3 linked regions of the Anolis sagrei genome follow. The protein of the gene in region 1 binds, or shares a complex with, the protein of each later gene. Links are inferred from orthologs where the notes say so. Each region holds a gene or a part of one and is shown in the gene's direction. Other genes may lie near its edges. The genes, in order: PLXNB1, ARHGEF12 and SEMA4D.

Region 1 (7,181 bases):
AGTTCGAAAACATGCAAATGTGAGTAGATCAATAGGTACCGCTCCGGTGGGACGGTAACGGCGCTCCATGCAGTCATGCCAGCCATATGACCTTGGAGGTGTCTACAGACCACGCCGGCTGTTCAGCTTAGAAATGGAGATGAGCATCACACCCAGAGTCGGACATGACTGGACTTCATGTCAGGGGGAAACTTTTACATATGTGTGTGTGTGTGTGTGTGTGTGTGTATACACACACACACACACACATAATATATATAGGCCCTCTGGGTCCAAAGATTCTCTGTCCATGGATTCAATGCCCCTTTGAAGGCAACCCTAAGGCTGATGTGCTCCTCGATGAAAATGAGTTCAACACCCCTGACTTACCCACTTTCATCATTTAACTGGAAATGGGAAAACAACAAAAAAAACTTCAGCCATCCCTTTCCTTTGAAATGGGAAAACAACAAAAACCTTCAGCCATACCCTTTCATCCTCAACCTTTGAAACATCTCTCCCACAGTGAAGCAAAGGGTGGCCAGTTTCAGGAAACCCCTTGGTCATAACCATGAAGGAACTCGCACTACAAAGAGCTCTATTTAGCAATCCAAGGCCACTGCTACAAAGTAGAGGAGCCCACAAGTGTTGTTGAGGCTTGGCTTTATTAGCATGGCATACGCCAGTTTCCGAATGCTTCCTAGAAATAAATTTGACATCCGCTCATGGGCTCTGAATATTAATTGAACAGTGGTTTTCTTTCAAACTTAGCAACACTTTGGGCTTTGAGGAAACTGGAAACAATTGCCTGTAAAAACTTATCCCGGAATTGTGGTTTCTTTAGAAGCTCCTTTTGCAAATTGGGGCTGGAGGAAGCGGGGTTTTACTGAGCTGTTTCTTTGGGCTAGTAAGGTCATTACGGCCTTGTGACTGAGGCCACTATTAGCCAAGGTCAAAGAATGTCCTTCTTTTGCATTTCACTCCCCAAAAGCCAACTTTGTGGATAGAAACCCTCTTTCTGGTCTTCCAGCAAAACTTGGGGCATGAAAAAGGAATCCCTAGAGATTCTTGGAATACAGCTATAGTCTTGCCTCTTGTTGTTTTTCTCAGCAGCTTTGCACAAAAAAAAAGGACTATTGAACCAATTCAAGCGCTCTCTGGTTCCCAGGTACCCGTAATGAGGAAACTAATTTCCATGTTCAATTTGGGAGAGCAAGCTGGACGGGGGACTTTTTGTAGTTGCTGGAAAGCTGCCTGACCTCTGGAAAGTTTTCAGCCACCTCCTCCTTGCCTTTTCGGATAGAAACCACTCTTTCGCTGCTAGCCAAGAGAGCCCCGATGCCAGCTTACATTCATCTTGTGAACCAGCAGGGGGAATCACTGGCACCAAACCAGCGGCAGGACATTTCTCAAATTAGAGCTCACTCCGACACCCACAGCCCTGCAATGTGTCTGCAGTTTTCACAGAGCTTGTTGGCGATACAGTTATAAGTAACATGGCCACTGTGATTGGAAGAGAAAGAGGTGAATGAATATGTAAGAAAAGGACATTTATAAAGTACCACAACAACATAGTGTTTGGGCGTAATGAGTAGTATTTTCTAGCTGCCTTTTCAAAAAAGTGATGAAGACAGTCTGGGGATCTGTGAAATGACAGGCAGCTACAGCAGGGTATGCCCATGCATCCCCATAATGCTCAGTGCTCGGCCTTTTCAAATCCTCCCCTTATGATATTTTCAAGTCATTTGTGGTTGAATCCATAGATGCATAATCCATAAATATAAATTTATGTATTTATTTATTTTTAAAAAGGTAAAGGTTTTCCCCTGACATTAAGTCCAGCCGTGTCTGACTCTGGGAGTTGGTGCTCATTTCCATTTCGAAGTCGACGAGCCAGCATTGTCCATAGACTCCTCCAAGGTCATGACTGCATTGAGTGCTGTTACCTTCCTGCTCGTGCATTACCTATTGATCTACTCACATCTGCATGTTTTCAAACTGCTAGGTTGGAAGAAGCTGGAAACTCACGCCGCTCCCTGGATTAAAAACTGCTTCGGTCAACAAGTTTAACCCACCGGGGGGGGGGGGGGGGGGGGTGTCCCACTTCATTTATTTATTTATTTGTTTGTTTGTTTAATGTATTTATTTACCACTCTTCTCAACCCTGGGAGGACTACAACATACTAGTGGCAAAATTCAAAGCCAGACATACATGTAAAAATTAAAAATATCTCAACAATAATTTTTTTTCATGTCAGCCCCCCATGGGTTATACTCTTGTGCCGGCAGGACTGCTGACCGACAGATCAGCCATTCGAATCCGGGAAGAGCAGCTTGAGCTACCTCTGTCAGCTCCAGTTCCCTTTATAGGAAGGATGGTAAAACATCAAAAACATCTGGGCGTCCCCTGGGCAATGTCCTTGCAGATGGCCTATTCTCTCACACCAGAAGCGACAACAATAACATATTCCCAGAATAACATATAACTATGTGTTAAAATAAATTAAGACCATTAAACATAACACATACACAACATTTAGATATAGCATTAAAACATCCTAGTATAAACTTTAAAATCACATGATCAAAATCATAAACCGTAGCCATTCCAAGTTGTCAATTGCACATGTTCCCCAATTAGTCTTAAACTGCATTATTTTACTGGCCAAAGGCTTGGTCCCACAACCATGTCTTTCTGAAAACCAAGATGGAGCGCACTGATCTTATCTCAGTGGGGAGAGAGTTTCACAGCTGAGGAACCACCACTGAGAAGACCCTGTCTCTCCCCACCACACTTGCAAAGGAGGTGGGACCAAGAGCAGAGCCTCTCCACAGAAGATCTTAACCTCCATGATGGTTCATAGAGGGAGATAGATTCAGACAAGCAGAGCCGGAACAGTTTAGGGCTTTATAGGCTAAAGCCAGCACTTTGACTTGTGCTCAGTAGCAAACTGACAGCCAGTTGAGCTGACGCAACAGGGGGAATTGTATGTTCCCTGTACACCGCTCCGGTGAGAAATCTGGCTGCCGCTCAGGGACACTTGAAGCTTCCAAACAGTCTTCAAAGGCAACCCCATGTAGAGCGCATTGCAGTAGTCTATTCTCCATGTAACAAGAGCATGGACCACCATGTCCAAGTCTGACTTCACAAGCTACAGGCGTAACTGGCTGGCGCACAAGTTTTAATTGTGCAAAAGCTCCCCTGGTCACCATTGAAACCTGGGAACCTGTAACCCCAACCAGCACAGACTGTAACCCTATACCCAGTTCATCCTTGCGACTGACCAGAAGTGTCTATGTCAATTTCAATTTCTTCGCCCTCATCCAGACTAAAAAAGCTAACCTTTTTACAGAACCATGATTCTTTACCTTTGTCCGCAGTTTCATCTGGAGTTATTTGCATGTTGCTGTTCTCCTGTTCATGCTGTAAAAACTATTCTGATTTTCAACCCAAATGGGCAACCAGCTTGGTGATGATGTCACTTCATATGTTTACTTTTGCTCACCTCTGGGATGCTCCAGGAGACTTAAAAACTTCTCCCCTTCCTTAAGCTTAAGTGGCTGAGGGGGGAAAAGGAAGGGGCCTGAGGCTGTTAGGAATTGTGGGAGTTGGAGTCCAAAAAATCTGGAGGGACCAAGTCCAAAACATTTAGAGGGGCCAAGTTTGCCCGTGCCAGGTTTAAACTGTATTTTGAAAATCCTCATAAATAAGGAATTGAGAACCCATCCCCTTAGCCACTGAGCCCGCTCTCCTTTCCCACCTCTGCTCCTTTTCTCAGCCTCTCCCAGTTTTCTCTGGGGTGAAGCTGCATTCTGGGCCCAGGCCTGGCAGCCAATGAATGGACCACACTGTTTGGGAATGAATGCTCTGAGCTGTGACAGACAGGCACTTGCTCTCAGTGAAAGCCCTGTCTTTACGCTGCTCCAAAGACATGGAACATACAAACACAGTTCTCCACTCCAGACCAAGATTGGGACAGGAAGAAAAGGCTACTTTTTTCCCAACCTTTCTTTTTAATGTGGCCCCCACTCTCCTCTCCTCTCCCCTCCGCCCCTCCCCTCCCTGTCCTTTAAATGAAGCTTGCAAGGGGACTCTGTACCAGGCTGAATGGGCTGCAGGCAAGGATTGGCTCCGGAGGAGAGGTACAAAGGGGATTAGTGTTTAAAAGTCATGAATGGATCAGAGCAAGGCAAGAAGTGTGTTTTTGGCTCCGTCTCCTAGTTACCAGTTTGGGATTTGGGTGGGAGAAAAAACTCTGCCCAAGTCTGGGAGCAGAGAAAATGTTTGTGTGACCGTGGCAGGCCAAAGAAAGTCCTCTGCTGTGAGATCAGTTTGTGTAATTTGGATCTCTCTTTTCTTTCCCTTGTGAGGGAATGGAAAGCCGGAAAAAAGGGCTTGAGTGAGTGCCTTTGCTATTTCGCTTGCATGTGTGGTGTTCTAAACGGAGATGGGACACCTTTGCGTTTATAGTGCAATCCTTTGTGACCTAGTTTTACCCACTCAACATATTTGACTGGGGTGCTTCTGTACAAAAGGCTTTTCCAGCTAGCCTTTTGTTATTTTTTGCTAGCTTGGATACCCAGCGTTGCCCAGGTTATTGGAAAAAGTCATTTTTTAAATTCTACAAAATGCATAAAGTCATGCCAGGTTAACCCCAAGAAACTCCATCAGTACTTAAAGTTTGTTATGTTGGTCAAGTTTGCTCTAGATATATCATCAGTGGGGTTTGGTGTGCTCTCTGGCTACTACAACTCCTACTATCGTGAGTCAGCCCCCTTAAACCCCTCCAGTAGGTTGAGTTAATCATAGGGGATCTGTGTGCCAAGTTTGGAACAGGTCTATCATCGGTGGAGGTCACAGTTTCTCTGGTTGTGGGTGAACTACAAATCCCAGAAAGGAAGGTCAGTTCCCCCTAAACCCCTGCAGTAATCAAGTTTCAGCATATCAGGTATGTGTGCCAAGTTTGGTCCAGATCCCTCAGTGTTTGGTTCAGATCCATTGATGTTTGGGTTCACAATGCTCTCTGGATGTAGGTGAACTACAAGTCCCCTAAATGAAGTTGTATTTTTCCCAAAGACCTCCAGTGGGTTTTTTTTTTGTTTTGGTTTTTTTGCTAGCCATGGGGGTTCTGTGTGCCAAGTGTGGTCCAATTCCATCTTTGGTGGAGTGCAGAATGCTAATTGATTGTAGGTTAACTATAAATCCCAGTACCTACAACTCCAAAATATCCAGGCCAATTTCCCGCAAAACCCAGCACCACCCCTCAGAGTAGGACACGACTTACTCTGTCAAGGGGAAACCTTTATCTATTTATTCCAAAGCAAGGGGGAACCTTTACCTATTTATTCCAAAGCAAATTGCTGTACTCTCCAATCGTCAAGTGTTCTTCCTCATTAAATAAGTTTGCCATCTTGATCACACTGTGATGTTGGTCGCCTTGGTAGATGATCTTCGCAGGGAACTGGACAGGGGGAGTGTGTCCCTGTTAGTTCTGCTGGACCTCTCAGCGGCTTTCGATACCGTCGATCACGGTATCCTTCTGGGTCGCCTCATGGATATGGGGCTCGGGGGCACCGCTTTACAGTGGCTCCGATCCTTCCTTGAGGGACGGACCCAGAAGGTGTTATTGGGTGACACCTGTTCGGCCCCACAACCGTTGTTGTGTGGAGTCCCACAGGGTTCAATTTTGTCCCCGATGTTATTTAACATCTATATGAAGCCGTTGGGAGAGATCATTCGGAGTTTCGGAATGAGATGTTATCTCTACGCAGATGATGTCCAAATCTGTCACTCCTTCCCACCTGTCACCAAGGAGGCTGTCCAGACCTTGAACCGGTGTTTAGCCGCTGTATCGGACTGAGAGCTAACAAATTGAAATTGAATCCAGACAAGACAGAGGTCCTACTGGTCAGTCGTAAGGCCGAACAGGGTATAGGGTTACAGCCTGTGTTAGATGGGGTTACACTCCCCCTGAAGACGCAGGTTCGCAGCTTGGGAGTGATCCTGGACTCATCGCTGAGCCTGGAACCCCAGGTCTCAGCGGTGGCCGGGAGAGCTTTCGCACAATTAAAACTTGTGCGCCAGCTGCGCCCGTACCTTGAGAAGCCAGATCTGGCCACGGTGGTCCACGCTCTTGTCACATCCCGGCTGGATTACTGCAACGCACTCTACGTGGGGTTGCCTTTGAAGACTGCTCGGAAACTACAATTAGTCCAGCGAGAAGCAGCCAGATTGCTCACTGGAGCGGCGTACAGGGAGCATACAACCCCCTGTTGCGTCAGCTCCACTGGCTGCCGATCCAATTCCAAGTACAATTCAAAGTGCTGGTTTTGACCTACAAAACCCTATACGGTTCCGGCCCAGTGTATTTGTCCGAACGGATCTCCCTCTACGTCCCACCTCGAAGCTTAAGATCTTCTGGGGAGGCCCTGCTCTCGACCCCGCCACTGTCACAAGTGAGGCTGGCGGGGACGAGGAGTAGGGCCTTCTCAGTGGTGGCCCCCCACCTGTGGAACTCACTCCCCGGGGAGATTAGATCGTCATCTTCCCTTTTGGCGTTTAGGAAAAAACTGAAGACCTGGATCTGGGATCAAGCCTTTGGTCATTCTGACAGCTAACTGAAGGATCTGATGTTAGACAAGGACAAATGGAATGGAATGGATATATGGACTCTGAACCCTGAGCATGAGACTGTTTTATTGTTTTTATTATGTACTGATGTTTTTAATTAATTGTTGAATTGTTTGTATTTGTATTGTTTGTGAATTGCCTTGGGCATCTAATTGTGCCCCCATTGTAAGCCGCCCTGAGTCCCCCTCGGGGTGAGAAGGGCGGGGTATAAGTAAATGAAATAAATAAATAAATAAATAAATAAATAAAATTGTTGGCTACACATGTCCTGACGTCTTGTGTGAAATGTTCAAAAGGATGCACAATGGTGTCACCAGGGTTGGTCTCAACCAGTGTGGGAACACACTTTGTCATATCCATGGACTTCCTCCCACAGCAGACCACATCACAATACTACAGATGAAATACCAGAAAAATGGAGAAAATTAGCTTCTCTAAAAACAATCAGCAACAAAAACAACAGTTCAAGCTTATAGCGCCTGCAGATGAAACAATGTAATTTGAAGCATGTCTATAAATGGGCCTGTGCATTGTTGTTGTTCATTCGTTCAGTCATCTCCGACTCTTCGTG
Region 2 (7,439 bases), on another chromosome or scaffold:
TAAGAAAGTCACCAGTTGATTCAAAGCCTTGAAGTATTTGTTTGACTTATTGAAGACCTAAGCACTAATAAAGAACTTTGTTAAACTTTCCAAGTTTCTAAGTTTCCAAGACTTTGTTTAGGGAAATCCAAAAGGCCTCTAATCTGAGGCACCCCCGGCGTCCCGTTGGGCATACAGAATACGTCCTGTCTACAGACTCTTTCACAGGCCCAGTGCGTGACAGCACAATTATTTATGAATGGTCTATGGTCATAATGTAAATAAACACATTCCTGAACCTCTAATAGTTTTCTTCTCTGCAGAATTATTATAGTTTGACCACAGTTTAACTGCCATTGCTCAGTGCTATGGAATCCCAGGAGCTGGAGTATTCCAGGGCTTTTAGCCTTCTCTCCCAGAGTGATGGTACTTCATCCAATGACAACTCCCAGGATGCCATAGCATTGAGCCAGGGCAGTTAAACTGGGATCAAAATGCATTCATTTCCCAATGTAGATGCACTCTAAGAGTAATTACTTATTTGAATTAAAGTAAAGGTAAAGGTTTTCCCCTGACATTAAGTCTAGTCATGTCCGACTCTAGGGGCTGGTGCTCTTCTTCACTTCTAAGCCGAAGAGCCAGCGTTGTCCATAGACGCCTCCTGGGTCATGCGGCCAGCATGACTGCATGGAGCATCGTTACATTCATTTCCCAATGTAGATGCACTCAAGGAGTAATTACTTATTTGAATTATAGAAAAGGTAAAGGTTTCCTCGTGACATTAAGTCTAGTCGAGTCCAAGCCTGGGGTTGGTGCTCATCTCTATTTCTTAGCCAAAGAGCTGGCATTGTCCGTAGTCACCACCTAGGTCATGTGGCCAGCATGACTGCATGGAGTGTTGTTACCTTCCTGCTGAAGCGGTACCTATTGATCTATTCACATTTGCATGTTTTTGAACTGCTAAGTTGGCAGAAGCTGGGGCTAACAGTGGGAACTCACCCTGCTCCCTGGATTTGAATTGATGACCTTTTGGTCAGCAAGTTCAGCAGCTCAGCGGTTTAACCTGCTATGTCACTGGGGGCTCTCATTTGGATTATAACTTTCAGAATTTTCCAGGGAACATTGCTGAATGATCATCCAAAGACCTAGTTTTCCAAGCTCTGGCTGATACCCTTTACAAATTTGTCTATATTTTGTAACAAAGACTTGTAGCAATGAGTTCCACAGGTTTACATGCAGCGCAAAGAAGTTATTCTCCCATTCATCAACCATAAGCCTCCTGAGTGTCACTGGGTGTTCTTTGTATTAGAAACTAGGCACACATTTATGTCTGTTATGCAGAATTTCTGCCATTCTGCTCACTGCTGCGAAACAAGGAGAAACCCCTTCATGGCAACTGTGCCTTAACAATGATAGATTATTGCATTAGAGCTGAGCTCTGACCATAGATTTTCTGGCAAGATGAAATAAATGAGCTTCCAAACTGTTGTTGCTTTAGTTTATTCAGGTGTTTTTCCCTCAGAGAGGGGAAGTGAAACTCAATACAATGTTTGCAGTCCGTTCATCTTAAGTGGCTGCCGATCAATTTATGGGGTGTTTAGTCTGGGATGTTGCACTTTATGCTCGTTCTTCTCCCTGAAGTCGATAGATTGACTTTTGTCCTGTTTTGCAAAATGTCTGGAAGTGATTTCCAAGAGAACAAATTTTGCAAAATAATAATGATGATGATAATAATAATAATGTTGACACGATATGAGGATTTAAAGATCAAACTGCAAAGACTCTGGCACAAGCCAGTAAAGGTGGTTCCAGTGGTGATCGGCACACTGGGTGCAGTGCCTAAAGACCTTGGCCTGCACTTAAGCACAATCGGTGCTGACACGATTACCATCTGCCAGCTACTGGGATCTGCATGCATTGTTCACTGATACATCACATAGTCCTAGACACTTGGGACATGTTGGATGTGTGATCCAATACAACAGCCAGTATAGTAATCTTGTTTGCTGTGGACTCATCCTGTTGTGTTTCAAATAATAATAATAATAATAATAATAATAATAATAATAATACGTCTCTGGGTTTAAAATCGTTGCCACTTTAACATCTTGGCATACATATTTTAAAAGTTTTCCAATTCTTCTATTGATCTTAAGGGGGAAAATAAACAGAATACGCACACTATTCAAACATGTCATAACATCTGTGAATAGTCAAATCTCCTAAAGTAAAAAACAAGGAGGGTTAACTATATTTGTCCTGCGACATTTCAAATGAGTTGATTTCGCAACCACAGACAGAAATAGGAAAAACAATGGCAGGGCACAGATTGGGTTGCTGTGTGTTTTCTGGGCTGTATGTCCATGTTCCGGAAGCATTCTCTCCTGACGTTTCACCCACATCTATGGCAGGCATCCTCCGAGGTTGTGAGGTCTGTTGGAAAATAGGAAAATTGACTTTATGTATCTGTGGAACAATGTCCAAGGTGGGAGAAAGAACTCTTGCCTGTTGGAACATACTGTCTCCAATGTCTTTCTTTGGCACCAAATATTGCAATACCAGGAGCTTCCTGAAGGTGGCAGCACTTTGCATATGGCGCTTGGGTTGCAATTCTCTCCTAAGTGGGACTTACTCCAATGTAGACAAGGATTCAGCCTCCAAAATAAGTCCAGCACCTTGGAGAGGCCTCTATTTCAGACTATGTGTGGCATCTCCCTAACTCTTCTCCAAAAACACAATGCAATTCGATTTCCCATTTCATATTGCTCCTTAAAGGAACTTTCCCCCCCCCCCGCCCTCCTTTATCGGCCTATGGCGGAAGCGGCAACGCATGTGCTGTGACAGGAAGAGTCGAGGCGGAGCAAGGGAAGGGCGTGACGCGTGCCGACGCGGAGGGATCCTCCCGAAGGGGAAAAAAGGGAGGGGGAGAGGAGAAAAACGAGTCCCGGCATCTCCGGAAAAGCCCGAAGCCTTCCGAGTGAAAGCCTGAAGTAAGGGAGCAGAGGAAGCAGGCGGAAAGGAACGAGGCGGGGCGATTAAGAGTCGGAATTACCGGAAAACTCCGAAGATAGCCGAGCTGAGTCGAGAGAACTCCGACTTACAGAAGTAGAAGGGGAACATGAGGGAGCGAAAAATGAATCCGGAAAAAGCCGGAGATAGCCGAGTGTGGCCGAACTAAGAGGCATAAAGTAGAAGGGGAAAGAAATGTGTGTGTGTGGGGGGGGGTAACGTTCGGGAAAAGTCGGAAAAATCCGAAAGTAGCCGAAGTGAGTCGAGCAAATTCTTGAAGGAATGGAAGCGGAGGAAAGAGGCGAAAGGGAGAAATGAGTTCGGGAATTGCCGGAAAATCCCGAAGGTTGCCGAGTATTGAGTCGAGCGAAGAGGCATAAAGGGAAAGTGGGGGGGTTCGGGAATATTCGGAAAAGTACGAAAGTAGCCGAACAGAGTCGAGGGAATTCCTGAAGGATTAGAAACGGAGGAAAGTGGGAAATAAGTCCGGGAATCTCCGGAAAAGTCCGAAGGTAGCCGAGAACGAGTGAGAACGAACCGCTGTGTAAAGAAGCCGAAGGGGGAGAAGGAATGAAGTCCGGGAATTACCGGAAAAGCCCGAAAGCAGCCGAAAACTGAGTTGAGCGGAGAGGCATAAAGGATCGGGATGGGAGGAGGAGGAGGGGTTACGTTCGGGAATTTCCGGAAATACCCGAAGGTTGCCGAATACTGAATCGAGCGAAGAGGAATAAAAGAAAGGGGGGTACGTTCGGGAATAGTCGGAAACCGCCGAAAGTAGCCGAACAGAGTCGAAGCAATTCCAGAAGGAATAGAAACTGAGGGAAGAGTCGAAAGAGGGAAATGAGTTCGGGAATTGCCGGAAAAAACCGAAACGAGTGAAGCTAAGAAGTGGAGGAAGAAAGGGGAAGAGCGGGAGCTGAAGAAATCCGGGAATGGCCGGAAAAGCCCGAAAATAGCCGAGTGCAGATAATGACTGAAATAAAGGGGAAAAAAATACTAATTGACTCGGGAATGTTCGGAAATACCCGAAAGTTGCAGAGTAAAGGCAGGGGGGACGTTCGGGAATAGTCGGAAATCCCCGAAAGTTGCCGAATAGAGTCGAAGCAATTCCAGAAGGAATAGAAACTGAGGGAAGAGTCGAAAGGAGGAAATGAGTTCGGGAATCTTCGGAAAAGCCCGAAGGTAGCCGAGAACGAGTGGAGGAAAAAAGGGGAAGAGCGGGAGATGAAGAAATCCGGGAATGGCCGGAAAAGCCCGAAAATAGCCGAGTGGAGATAATGACTGAAATAAAGGGGAGAAAAAAACTAATTGACTCGGGAATGGCCGGAAAAGACCGAAAATAGCCGAGTGGAGATAATGACTGAAATAAAGGGGGGGGGACACAAATTGACTCGGGAATGGCCGGAAAGTCCCGAAGATACCCGACAGGAGCCGAAAGCGAGTGGGGCGAATCCCTGAAGTGAAGAAGAGGCTGGGAAAGGGGAGGGAACGTCCGGAAACACCCGAAAGTAGCCGAGCGGAGCCGAGCCGGGGCCTGCCTGAGGGAAGCCGGCGGGGCGGAGGGGGGAGCAGCGCTGGCCTGAGGAGAAGCTCTTCAGGATCCGGAGAGGAGGCCGGAGCGGGGCCTGCGGAGGAGACCAGGCCGAGGAAGAGAAGGAGGAGGAAGGCCAGGCCAGGCCTCGCCACATTCCTCCGGCGGGAAGGAGAAGGAGGAGGAGGAGGAGGAGGAGGGGGCGAAACTAAGTCTCCTCCTCAGGCCCGACGTCGAGGGAGAAGGGCCGACGGGCCTGAGGGGACTTCGGCCGAGAAGCAGGAGGAGGACAGCCACCCCCAGGCTCGGGACCCCCCTCAGGAGGCACTTGGAGGCCTGGAAGAGAGACTCCAAGGGGGAAAAAAAGGAGGAACCCGACCTCAAAGGGGAGCCACACAACTACCCATCCACACTGCCCTCGAGGGTGGCTCCTTTCTGCACCCCTTTTTCGTCAGGAGCAGAGGAGAAGGAAAGGAAGCACAAGGAAGGCTCGAGGAGAGAGGCACAGACCCGCAGACAGGTATACACACACAGAAACATACCTGCAGATGCAAACACATCCATCCATCCATCAAGTGCTGCTTTGACTCTTCTTTGCAGCCCTTTTTCCCTCAGGGCCAGAGGAGAAGGAGGAAGAAGAAGGAGAGGGATCAAGAAGGCTGGAAAAGACACACACACAGATACAAACACAAAACACATACACAAACCTAGACACACGTGAAACACATACATAAACCTATTCACACACACAAATACAAACATAAAACACATACATAAACATAAACACATACCACCCCACACATACATACAGATACAAACATAAATACACAAACACATACCTACACGCAGATACACACACATACAGATACAAACATAAAGCACATACCTACACACAGACAAAATACAAACCGATACAAACATTAAACACATACATGAACACACACAGATACACATACATACAGCTACAAACATTAAACATACTCAAGCACATACCTTCACGTACATAAACACATACCTTCACACAGATACACACACATACAGATGCAAACATAAAGCACATACCTACACACAGACAAAAATACAAACAGATACAAACGTTAAACATATAAACATAAACCTATACACAGACACAAATACAAACATAAAACACATATATAAACATAAACACATACCACCCCGCAAACACATACATACAAATACAAACCTAAATACATAAACACATACCTACATGCAGTTACACACGCATACAGATACAATCATAAACACACACCTTCACTCAGGTACACGCACATACAGATACAAACATTAAACACATACATAAACACATATCTTCACGCAGATACACATACATACAGCTACAAACATTAAACATACTCAAGCACATACCTTCACATACATAAACACATACTTTCACGCAGATACACACACATACAGATGCAAACATAAAGCACATACCTGCACACAGACAAAAATACAAACAGATACAAACATTAAATACATAAACATATACCTTCACACAGATACACACACGTGCAGATACAAATATAAAACACATACATAAACATAAACCTATACACAGACACAAATACAAACATAAAACACATATATAAACATAAACACATACCACCCCACAAACACATACTTACATACAGATACAAACATAAATACATAAACACATACCTACACTCAGGTACACGCACATACAGATACAAACATTAAACACATACATAAACACATATCTTCACGCAGATACACATACATACAGCTACAAGCATTAAACATACTCAAACACATACCTTCACGCAGATACACACACATACAGATACAGACATAAAACACACACATAAACACATACCTACATGCAGACCCATACATACAGATAACAAACATAAAACACATACATAAACACATACCTACATGCAGAGACACACACATACAGATGCAAACATAAAACACTTTCTTAAACACAGACACATACAGATACAAACATAAAGCAGATACATAAATACATACCTTCACATACACACATATAGACATAAATATTAAAAAAATACATAAACACAGCCAGGTGCAAACATTGACACAAAGACATACATCCAGGTACATATATGTACATACTGATACAAGCATAAGCATACACACTCAAACATATACATATATACACACAGGGCCCAACACGGCTGTGACTTCGTTTTTCTTTTTGCCTTTTCTCCAGGACAAGAGAGGAAGGAAGGAAGGAGGGGAGATCTAAAGAAGGCCGGAGGCAGGCCAACAGATTCCACATTCTTGTGTGTCAACTCCGGGCTTAGAGAAGAAAGAAAGAAAGACGGGATGTAGAGGAAGACACACACACACTCCATAGAAAGCGTGGCTGTGATTTCTTTACGCACCCCAAAAACAGGACCAGAGGAAGGAGGCTGTGCCATCGCAGTCCACCTTGGAATCCAATTCTGGGCCTTTATTTTGTTGCCTTTGCTTCTACGACTCGGCCTGGAGATGAAAGAGAGAGACGGGATATCAAGGCAGGTGGAGGCTTGAGAAGGCCACAGCCCTATTTTTTCCCCTTTTCTTTGCCCCAATTTTCATCCAGGACAAGAGGAGAGAATTCAGTCTAACTCAGAGATTTCGCTTAGATATTTCCACTACTTTCCCTTTTCTCGGTGGGGACAAAAGAAGGGGGGGGGGGCTGCTATTTTTGTATGTTTTTTCTAGATAGATACTTGATTCTCTATAGGAAGGGGCTGTTTTCCTGTTGACAACCCCACCCTCAGCATCTTTTCTTGACAATCCCATATAGAAACAGTAGTATCTATTTCCCTCTAGCCTGTTAAGGGTAGATAGTAATATAAATCCTTAAAAGGGAGGGCAAATCAATCTTTGGTGAGCAAAGCATTAGAAACCGCTCTGCTGAGTAGCTTTC
Region 3 (8,066 bases), about 210 Mb from region 1:
CGGTCCCACCTTATCCTAAGTGCGGCTGGTGGGAACAAGACAGGGAGACTTCTCTGTGGTCGCTCCTTCCCTCTGGAACTCCCTCCCTAAAGAAATTACAACAGCCCCTTCAAGAAACAACTAGAAACCTACTTTTGTACGTTAGCCTATGGAGAGGAAGACTAGTTTACCATCGATCCCACCTCATCTGACAATGTTGACAATTACCATAACTTATTGAAGAGCTATATTTTTATACATATTTTAACTGTTCAATGTGATATTTATGATGTTTGACTGATTTATATGTTTTAGCCAAAGTGTTTAATTTGTTTATTTTGACCATAACTGTTTGTTTTAATGTTTTATTATGTTATTGCACATGGCATTGAATGTTTGCCATTTTTCGCCTTTGGACTCCGCCCTGAGTCTTCCAAATAAAGATTATTATTAAAAATAACATTAAAATAAAGATTATTATTATTTGATACATAACAAGATTAGTACACAGCAAACAAGATCACTATACTGGCTTTTGTATTTGATCACATGTCGGATATTTCTCAAGTGCCTAGGACTGTATAATGTATCGGCAAATAATATGTGGAGACCCAAGTAGGGTGACCTTTTGCAGCTGATAGATGGCAATTTTGTCAGCGCTGATTGTTTTTAAGTGCTGGCCAAGGTCTTTAGGCACTGCACTCAGTGTGTCAGTCACCACTGGGACCACCTTTCCTGGCTTGTGCCAGAGTTTTTGCAGTTCGGTCTTTAAATCCTCATATCATGTAAGCTTTTCTAGTTGCTTCTTGTCAATTCTGCTCTCACCTGGGATTGCAACATCGATGATTCATACTTTGTTTTTTCCCCCACAAACATGAGGTCAGGAATATTGTGCTCCAAAACTCTGTCAGTCTATATTCGGAAGTCCCAGAGTAGTTTGGCATGTTCATTTTCTGTAACTTTTTAAGGTTTGTGATCCCACCAGTTCTTTGTTACTGGTAGATGGTATTTTTGACATAAGTTCCAATGGATCATCTGAGTAACGGTATTATGCCTCTGCTTGTAGTTCATCTGCACAATCTTCTTGCAGCAGCTGATGATGTGATCCATCATTTTGTCTGCTTCCTTTTAGATTCTACACTTGGATTCTGGAGTCAACTTTTCAGTTCTGGCTTTGATGGTATTTGTTCTAATTGCTTGTTCTTGGGCTGCAAGAATCAGGCCCTCAGATTCCTATTATTGTTGTTGTTGCATTGTTGTTGTTGTTGTTGTTGTTGTTATTCTTATTATTCTTATTCTTATTATAGTATTACGATTTCCAGCATCTTCTAACAATTGCATTTTCTGTCCACTGTACAAACTAAAGGCATAGAGACCAGGAAGATGAGGATGTGGAGCAAATACCTGTGGATACTACGATTCCACTCTACTTCTGACTGATCATTCCAGTTGAAGTTACAGAGATGTTTTGGTGATAAAATTTTGTCAACTCATGGCAAGGGTGTGAATCCTCTTAGTCTTGGAAAAGTTGTGAGTTCCCTTTGTCCTTCCCTTGTGGGGTCCATGGGGAGGCAGTCTCTTTTAGATGAATTTTGGTTTAGCACGTGTCTTGCCATTTGTTGTGAAGATCCAAAATTTTGCACAGATCATCACCATAATCATCGGATGCTGGAGTCCCTATTAATAAAACGGTGTAGGGCACCAGTGGAGGTGGCAGCAAGTATTTGAGGTGATGGTTATGGGGCTTCAGCTTATTTGTTCACAAGGCAGAATCAAGTGACTGACTAGCAAGTGACTTGTAGCCAAAGGTTGACACCACCTTTGCTTTGAATCCAAACTTGTCTGAAACTGCAGATCCTGAGCTCAGAGATATGGTGGGTCCACACTATGCTACCTGATCTCACACTACAACCCCATCTAATACTGTTCATTCAAAGTTAGTGTCAAACTGTGGTGGCCAGACAACAAATTCCCACAGAAGTGTGTAAAAGAACTCCCTAATGTGCATCAGTGCTCTGGCTTGTATCATCACTATCCAGGCCTCAGACTTGTTCCACTATTTCCCTGCTGAAAAGGAGCATGTTTCAAACAATGAACCGAGCTAGACACAGCATATTATGTGAGAACACAGAAATGCTGGACCACTCAAACAGCTACCATGTCAGACTACACAGAGAAGCCATAGAAATCCACAAGCATGTGGATAATTTCAACAGAAAGGAGGAAACCGGAAAATGAACAAAATCTGGCTACCAGTATTAAAACACTCTAAATAAATAACAACATTCAAAAACAGGGGAACTCCAGACAGGAAACTATCAAGGCCAGCTAACACCTCCCAACAAAGGATCCTCCAGGCAGCAACCAGCCAAGCTTTGAAGCTGCAAGGTCATTAAATGCTAATCAAGGTGGCCAATTGTAACATTCACACTTGCCTCAAGCAGACAAGAGTTTTTTCTCCCACCTTGGACATTCCACAGATATACGTATAAACCCCACTTGCCTAGTTTCCAACAGACCTCTCATCCTCTGAGGATGCCTGCCATAGATGTGGGCAAAACATCAGGAGAGAATGCTTCCAGAACATGGCCATACAGCCTGGAAAACTCACAGCAACCCGGTCCTCGATATCCACAGATTGTGCAGTCATTAATTTCACCATTCCTTGCTTGACTTTAAAAAACAACAACACAAAAACACTGTTTTACTATAGTATTCTTTATCAAGGGACTAGAGTATTCACTGAGTTTGGTATCCACTAGGGGTCCTGGAGCTAAATTCCAGCAGATCCCAAGGCCTACTATAGTGTCGTAATATTATTTAAAAAAGAGAACCAATGTCTTTAAGAGTGTTTTATAGACACAGAGTTCTAGTTGTTAGTCTCAAATAGAATAGTCCCATTGACATAGGGTGTATCTACACTGCAAAACCAGTGCAGCTTAACACTTCTTTAACTGTGATAGCTCAATGCTATGGAATCCTGGGATTTGTAATTTGGTGAGGCAGAAGCACTCTTGGCCAGGGAAGGCTAAAGTCTTTGTTAAACTACAATTCCCAGGACACCATAGAATTGAGCCATGGCAGTTAAAGTAGTGTCAAGCTGCATTAATTGTACAGTATGGATGCACCCTTAATGTTTGACTGGTGAGTTGACAATAGGTAAATCTCAGTAGCTTTATATGTTCATGCTATGATTTTTTTCCTGTTTGTAATTTAATACCAATGAATAACATCCCCAAGAGGTAGGAACTGAAAAACCTAGATTCCATCTACATTGACCATTTAATGCAGTTCGAATGAGCTTCAACCTGCAGCAACGAGACAGCAAACGGTTAGGGAAAACTAACCTAAAATATAGCAGAGCATCCAAAAGCAAACAGGGCACAAAAGTTGAGCTTCAGCTCATTACTGAGCAAAGTGTGATGTGGCTATAAAGAATTTAGAGCTTAGGCAGGCAAAGATACAGAGTCCAATCTTAAAAATCACAAAAGGCTTCTCTACAATAATAAGGAACTAACTACATATCTTCATGGTAAAGAACTGGGTCTGAGCTACTCTAACACCCATCTCTTCTAAGGATTCAAAGAGTGGGAAAAACACAGAGAGAGATCTCAAAGCACACAGCACACAGCACATTCAAAGATGTAAGAAACAGAAGTCAGATTTTAAAAGACTTGCAATAGAAAAGTATCAATTTCACACACCCAATCAGAATGGGAACAGAAACAGAGGACAGAAGAAATAGTTACATTCCTACATTGGCTGTCTTCAGAAAGAACCTGAAGACCTGGCTTTTCTGATGCGCCTTCCCAGATTAGGAAATCCCCACTACCAAGTCCCATAAGCACTTTATCAGAACCAAGGATTGCTGCACATCGCACTTGCCCTAGAAGCCCTTTATACACCTCCTGTCACATCAGCACTTTTAATCTTTGTACCCACCCTCTGGCCCAGCCCAGTTTTATTGTTTTTTAGTGTATTGTGCCTGTTGTTTACTTTGCTTTACTTTGTTTTTAATTGTTTGATTTGCTTAGATTGTATTATTATGTTGTGCGTTGAGGCCTCGGCCTGTGTAAGCCGCATCGAATCCTTTGGGAGATGCTAGCGGGGTACAAATAAAGTTTAATAATAATAATAATAATAATTCCCAACTGTCATACAGGAGACATGGGGGAAGGGACATCCTTAGTCCATACTAAACTAACTGCTCCTCATTGAAAACTTCAGACTTGGGCAGTGTGGGGTTGAATTCCAACACAAACTCCCACAAAAGTGTGTAAAAGTGAGTCATTTAGTGCTCTGTGGTTTCTATCACCAGACTAGTTCCTGTTCAAGTAGTCCCTAGTCAAAGTGGTCCCTGGTCAAGTGGTCTCTGGTCACAGTGGTACCTAGTTAAAGGGGTACCTGTTCAAAGTGGTCCCTAGTCAAAATGGTCCCTGTTCAAGTAGTCCCTGATCGAGGTAGTCCCTGGTCAAGTGGTCCCTAGTCAAAGTGGTCCCTGGTCAAGTAGTCCCTGAACAAGTGATTACTGTTTAAAGTGGCCCCTAGTCAAGGTGGTCTCTGGTCAAAAAAAGGTTGGGAACCACTAGTGTAGATGGCCTTCAAGAAGAAAACAATTGCTAAGAGGCAGAGAAAGAGTGCAGCTATGGTGCTGAAGTCATGCAGTTGGACATCGCTTTAACTGCCATGCTGTAGGATCATGGGGATTGTAATTTGGCAAGGCCTTTCGCCTTCTTCTGTGCCAATGAGTGCTGGTGCCAAAATCCCAGGGCAGCTAAAGTGGTGTGAAACTCCAGTGCGTAAATGCCCCCAATGCCTCCTGGAAGATAGGCGAGAGCAGCCACCCCAGCCTCCCTCCACGTGGTGCAGAGGCTTCGCAACCTGCAGGGGCCGTGTTTCGGTTTCGTGGGATATTTCCTCCACCAACCGGGAGCCTTTTAGTAAAATATTCCTCGAGGGTGGGAGGAGGGTGGGTATAGATGGGGAGGGGGCGCCTTCCCGCTGGAGAGAAACCACGAGACCCCACCAACCAGCCTTTGCTGCTGCTGCTAATCCCACCAGCAGCCCACCTCCCTCCTCCTCCCTCTCCCTTTGACTGAACTCTCGCTTTCCTAAAGCCTTCCCCTTTGGAAAGCGCCCGCCTGGGGCTCCCCTCCCTTTAGCTGGAGCTGGTGGATTGGCGTGGTGTGTGTGTGTTTGTGTGAACGCGGATCGCTTTGCCTCCTCCTCTTTCTCCTGGTCTCTCTCTCTCTCTCTTTTTCTGGCAGCCGCCATAACTGCGGGGGCAACCCAAACTTGCTCCAGCCTGGCACCGCCAACTCCTCCTCCCACCGATCGCCTCTTTCCCTTTCCACGCGGGCTCGTGGCAGCGAGAGAAAAAGGAAAGGGAAAATAAAGAAGTTGTCGAGCAGCAATCGCAGCAGCAGCAGCAGGTAGGAAGCCTTTGCAGGCAGTGGCTCCACTTTGCGGCAGAGGATTGACTCGGGAGGAAAGAAGAGGCAACAAGGTGGCCTTCTTCCCCCTATATTTGCTTCTCCCGGGTTTTGGTTCGGCATTGAGAGAAAGGTGAGGGGTTTGGGGGGTGGGTCATCGGGTTGGGGGTCCCATCCCCTCCTCTTCGGATCGTGGGAACCGGGAGAGGTTGCAATATCAAATGCAATACACTGGGCGCGGGGCTTGCTGCAGGGACTCGGATTTGGGTAAAGGGGGGAGGAGATGGAGGGGTGTTTTCAAGACAGATTTCTGATCTGCAGGCAGGGAAAGAGATGCAAGTGGGGAGGGTTAAATGGGGGGGGGGTCTCCTTTTCCTCTCCTTGAAATGGGGGGTCTCTCCTTTGGATCCTTCAAATGGGGCTCCCACTCCCTCCCCTTCAAAGGTTTGTCTCTTCCCTTCAAAGGAGAGGGGGTCTTTCCACTCGATATGAGGATCTCCCCTTGAAATGGGGTGCTCCCCCTCCCCTTAAATCGAGGGTCTTCCTCCTCTCTTTGGACTCCTTTAGCCTTGTCAATAAGGGGGGCACCAATGGTTGTGTTGGTGGGAAAGAAGCAGGCGCATTGTGTGTGCTTGTTGTGTGTGGCTGGACTGCTGTGGATGGAGTCTGCCTTGCCTTTATTTCTCTGCCTTACTTTCCCCCCTCCCCTGCTTTGGCTAGAAGAATGGCCTTGGCTGCCCCTTTCTCCCTCCTTCCTTTTCGACCCTCCCCAATATGTATATATGTACTAGCCTTCCCCTGCCACACGTTGCTGTGGTCCAGTATGTGTATGTGTATGTGTGTGTAATAGGTGTGTGTGTGTGTTTTGTGTTTATATGTGATTTTGCGCATGCGTTGTAATGTATTTTGGGGTTGTTTTTTTTTTGGTTTTTTTTTTGCTTTCTAAGTCTCTTCTGCTGTGTTTTTCAGTGTTTTTATGAGTGATGGTCACTTGTTGGCTGCTACATATATTGTGTCCAAATTTGGTGTCAAATCATCCAGTGGTTTTTGAATTATGTTCATCCCACATATACAATTTTTCTGGCACCCACTGCCCCTTTGTGTACAAGACTTCAATATTGCAGTGTTGAAGTCTTGTGAGCTTCCACTGTTGCACTGCCATGATTTCAGAAGGAATCAAGTCTAGCTTTGGGTGCGTCTGCATGGTGGAATCTATGCAGTTCTGCACCTCTTTCACTGCCATGGCTCCATTTGTAGTTTGGTGAGGCAACAGCACTATTTCTCCCCTCCCCGCAAAAGGCTAAAGACCTTGCAAAAGTACAGGTGTGTCTACGGGCCCTTCCACACAGCCATATAACCAAGATTATATGGCAGTGTAGAAGAGGGTTCAGATCCATCCTGTAATAACCCATATAATTCAAACAGCATTATATGGCAGTATAGATTCAGCCTTAGTTGTCAGAGCCAGTGGCGATGAATTCTGGGAAACGCAGTTCAAAAACACATGGGCTCCTTCCACACAGCCATATAACTCAGAATACCAAGGGAGGAAATCCCACAATATCTGCTTTGAACTGGGTAATTTGAGCCCACACTGCCATATATCCCACTGCAAAGCAGATAATGTGGGATTTCATTTTGGTGTGTGGAAGGGGCCTACACTGCAGTTCTGACACAATTTGAACTGCTGTGGAATTCCAGGCAGAAAATGATCAAGGCCAGCTAACACCTTCCAACAAAGGATCCCCACCCAGGCAGTAAGCAGCCTGGCTTTGAAGCTGCAAGGCTATTCAGTGCTAATCAAGGTGGCCAATTCGCACTTGCATTGCAGTTCTTTCCACAGATATATAAACCTCACTTGCGTAGTTTCCAACAGAACTCACAACCTTTGAGGATGCCTGCCATAGATGTGGGTGAAACGTTGGGAGAGAATGCTTCTGGAACATGGCCATGCAGCCTGGAAAACTCACAGAAACGTAGCAATTCCGGCCATGAAAGCTTTCAACTATACATGGGAGATGTAGTTTGATGAGGCACTGTTTGGCAGGGAAGGCTGAGGACTCTGTGAAACTGCAACACCTCTGAGTCTTTGGCAATTAGCCATGGCATTTAAAATGCTGTCAAACTGCACTGATTTTACAGTGAAGTAGATCCAGAATACAACTCCCAGGATTCCATAGCAATGAGCGATGGCAGTGAAAGTAGTGCCACACTGCATTCATTCTACAATGTAGATGCACCCTTTGTAACCCATTTCTTGGATGTTTTCAAAGGAAACTTGACATAGGGAGGAAAGGGCCAGAGGGGTCGCCTTTAATTATTGTGGGGAGTCTCCTGTGGGAAGAGGAAAAATGATGAAGGAAGGTGTGGGAGGGACAACCTGTCAAAAGGAATGTTTTTGAACTTGAAAGGGATGCAATCGAATTAAAATTTAATCCAAGTTGGGAGCAAAAAATTAAAATTTAATCCAGATTGAGGGGAGACACTCCTTTGCCTTTAGTGCCAATATTTATATTAATATCGGTCCATGGGACATGATAAATACCCTAAAGGCACCAGATCCAATGTGATCTTGGAACCTAAGCAGGGTCAGCCTTGGTTAATACTTGGATGGGAGACTGCTGTAGGCTGTATTTCAGAGGAAGGTACCTCCCG

Evidence for each region.
Region 2: the proteins of PLXNB1 (region 1) and ARHGEF12 are in contact, whole or in part, in an NMR structure (PDB 2OS6), measured with the Homo sapiens proteins. The link is inferred for Anolis sagrei from reciprocal best matches to the Homo sapiens genes PLXNB1 and ARHGEF12. Residues at the interface, in NP_001123554.1 of Homo sapiens: Glu2129, Lys2131, Val2132, Thr2133, Asp2134, Leu2135; in NP_056128.1 of Homo sapiens: Phe82, Gly83, Leu84, Thr85, Val86, Ser87, Gly88, Asp89, His127, Val131, Lys135.
Region 3: the proteins of PLXNB1 (region 1) and SEMA4D are in contact, whole or in part, in a crystal structure (PDB 3OL2), measured with the Homo sapiens proteins. The link is inferred for Anolis sagrei from reciprocal best matches to the Homo sapiens genes PLXNB1 and SEMA4D. Residues at the interface, in NP_001123554.1 of Homo sapiens: Leu80, Pro81, Pro82, Glu87, Arg136, Pro137, Gly138, Asp139, Thr140, Tyr142, Gly178, Glu202, Lys205, Ala207, Gly209, Arg210, Ser212, Glu213, Arg235, Arg242, Asp359, Val360, Asn361, Ser362, Leu367, Pro368, Thr371, Tyr375, Ser379, Asp380; in NP_001358123.1 of Homo sapiens: Glu99, Lys100, Gly101, Phe158, Tyr179, Phe181, Leu182, Gly183, Ser184, Arg198, Tyr201, Ile203, Glu208, Val240, Leu264, Arg265, Thr266, Leu267, Gln268, Lys270, Thr347, Gln350, Ser351, His352, Thr353, Asp388, Gln392, Lys395.

The regions. Positions count from the first base shown.
Region 1 is NC_090022.1:26,208,005-26,215,185, forward strand, and holds the start of PLXNB1 (plexin-B1), read left to right. Parts: upstream 1-4,084; 5' UTR 4,085-4,122; intron 4,123-7,181. UniProt on the Homo sapiens protein: Receptor for SEMA4D. Plays a role in GABAergic synapse development. Mediates SEMA4A- and SEMA4D-dependent inhibitory synapse development. Plays a role in RHOA activation and subsequent changes of the actin cytoskeleton.
Region 2 is NC_090027.1:37,523,946-37,531,384, reverse strand, and holds the start of ARHGEF12 (rho guanine nucleotide exchange factor 12), read left to right. Parts: upstream 1-4,368; 5' UTR 4,369-5,039; intron 5,040-6,734; 5' UTR 6,735-7,439. UniProt on the Homo sapiens protein: May play a role in the regulation of RhoA GTPase by guanine nucleotide-binding alpha-12 (GNA12) and alpha-13 (GNA13). Acts as guanine nucleotide exchange factor (GEF) for RhoA GTPase and may act as GTPase-activating protein (GAP) for GNA12 and GNA13.
Region 3 is NC_090022.1:234,407,881-234,415,946, reverse strand, and holds the start of SEMA4D (semaphorin-4D), read left to right. Parts: upstream 1-4,978; 5' UTR 4,979-5,411; intron 5,412-5,423; exon of another isoform or gene 5,424-5,544; intron 5,545-8,066. UniProt on the Homo sapiens protein: Cell surface receptor for PLXNB1 and PLXNB2 that plays an important role in cell-cell signaling. Regulates GABAergic synapse development. Promotes the development of inhibitory synapses in a PLXNB1-dependent manner.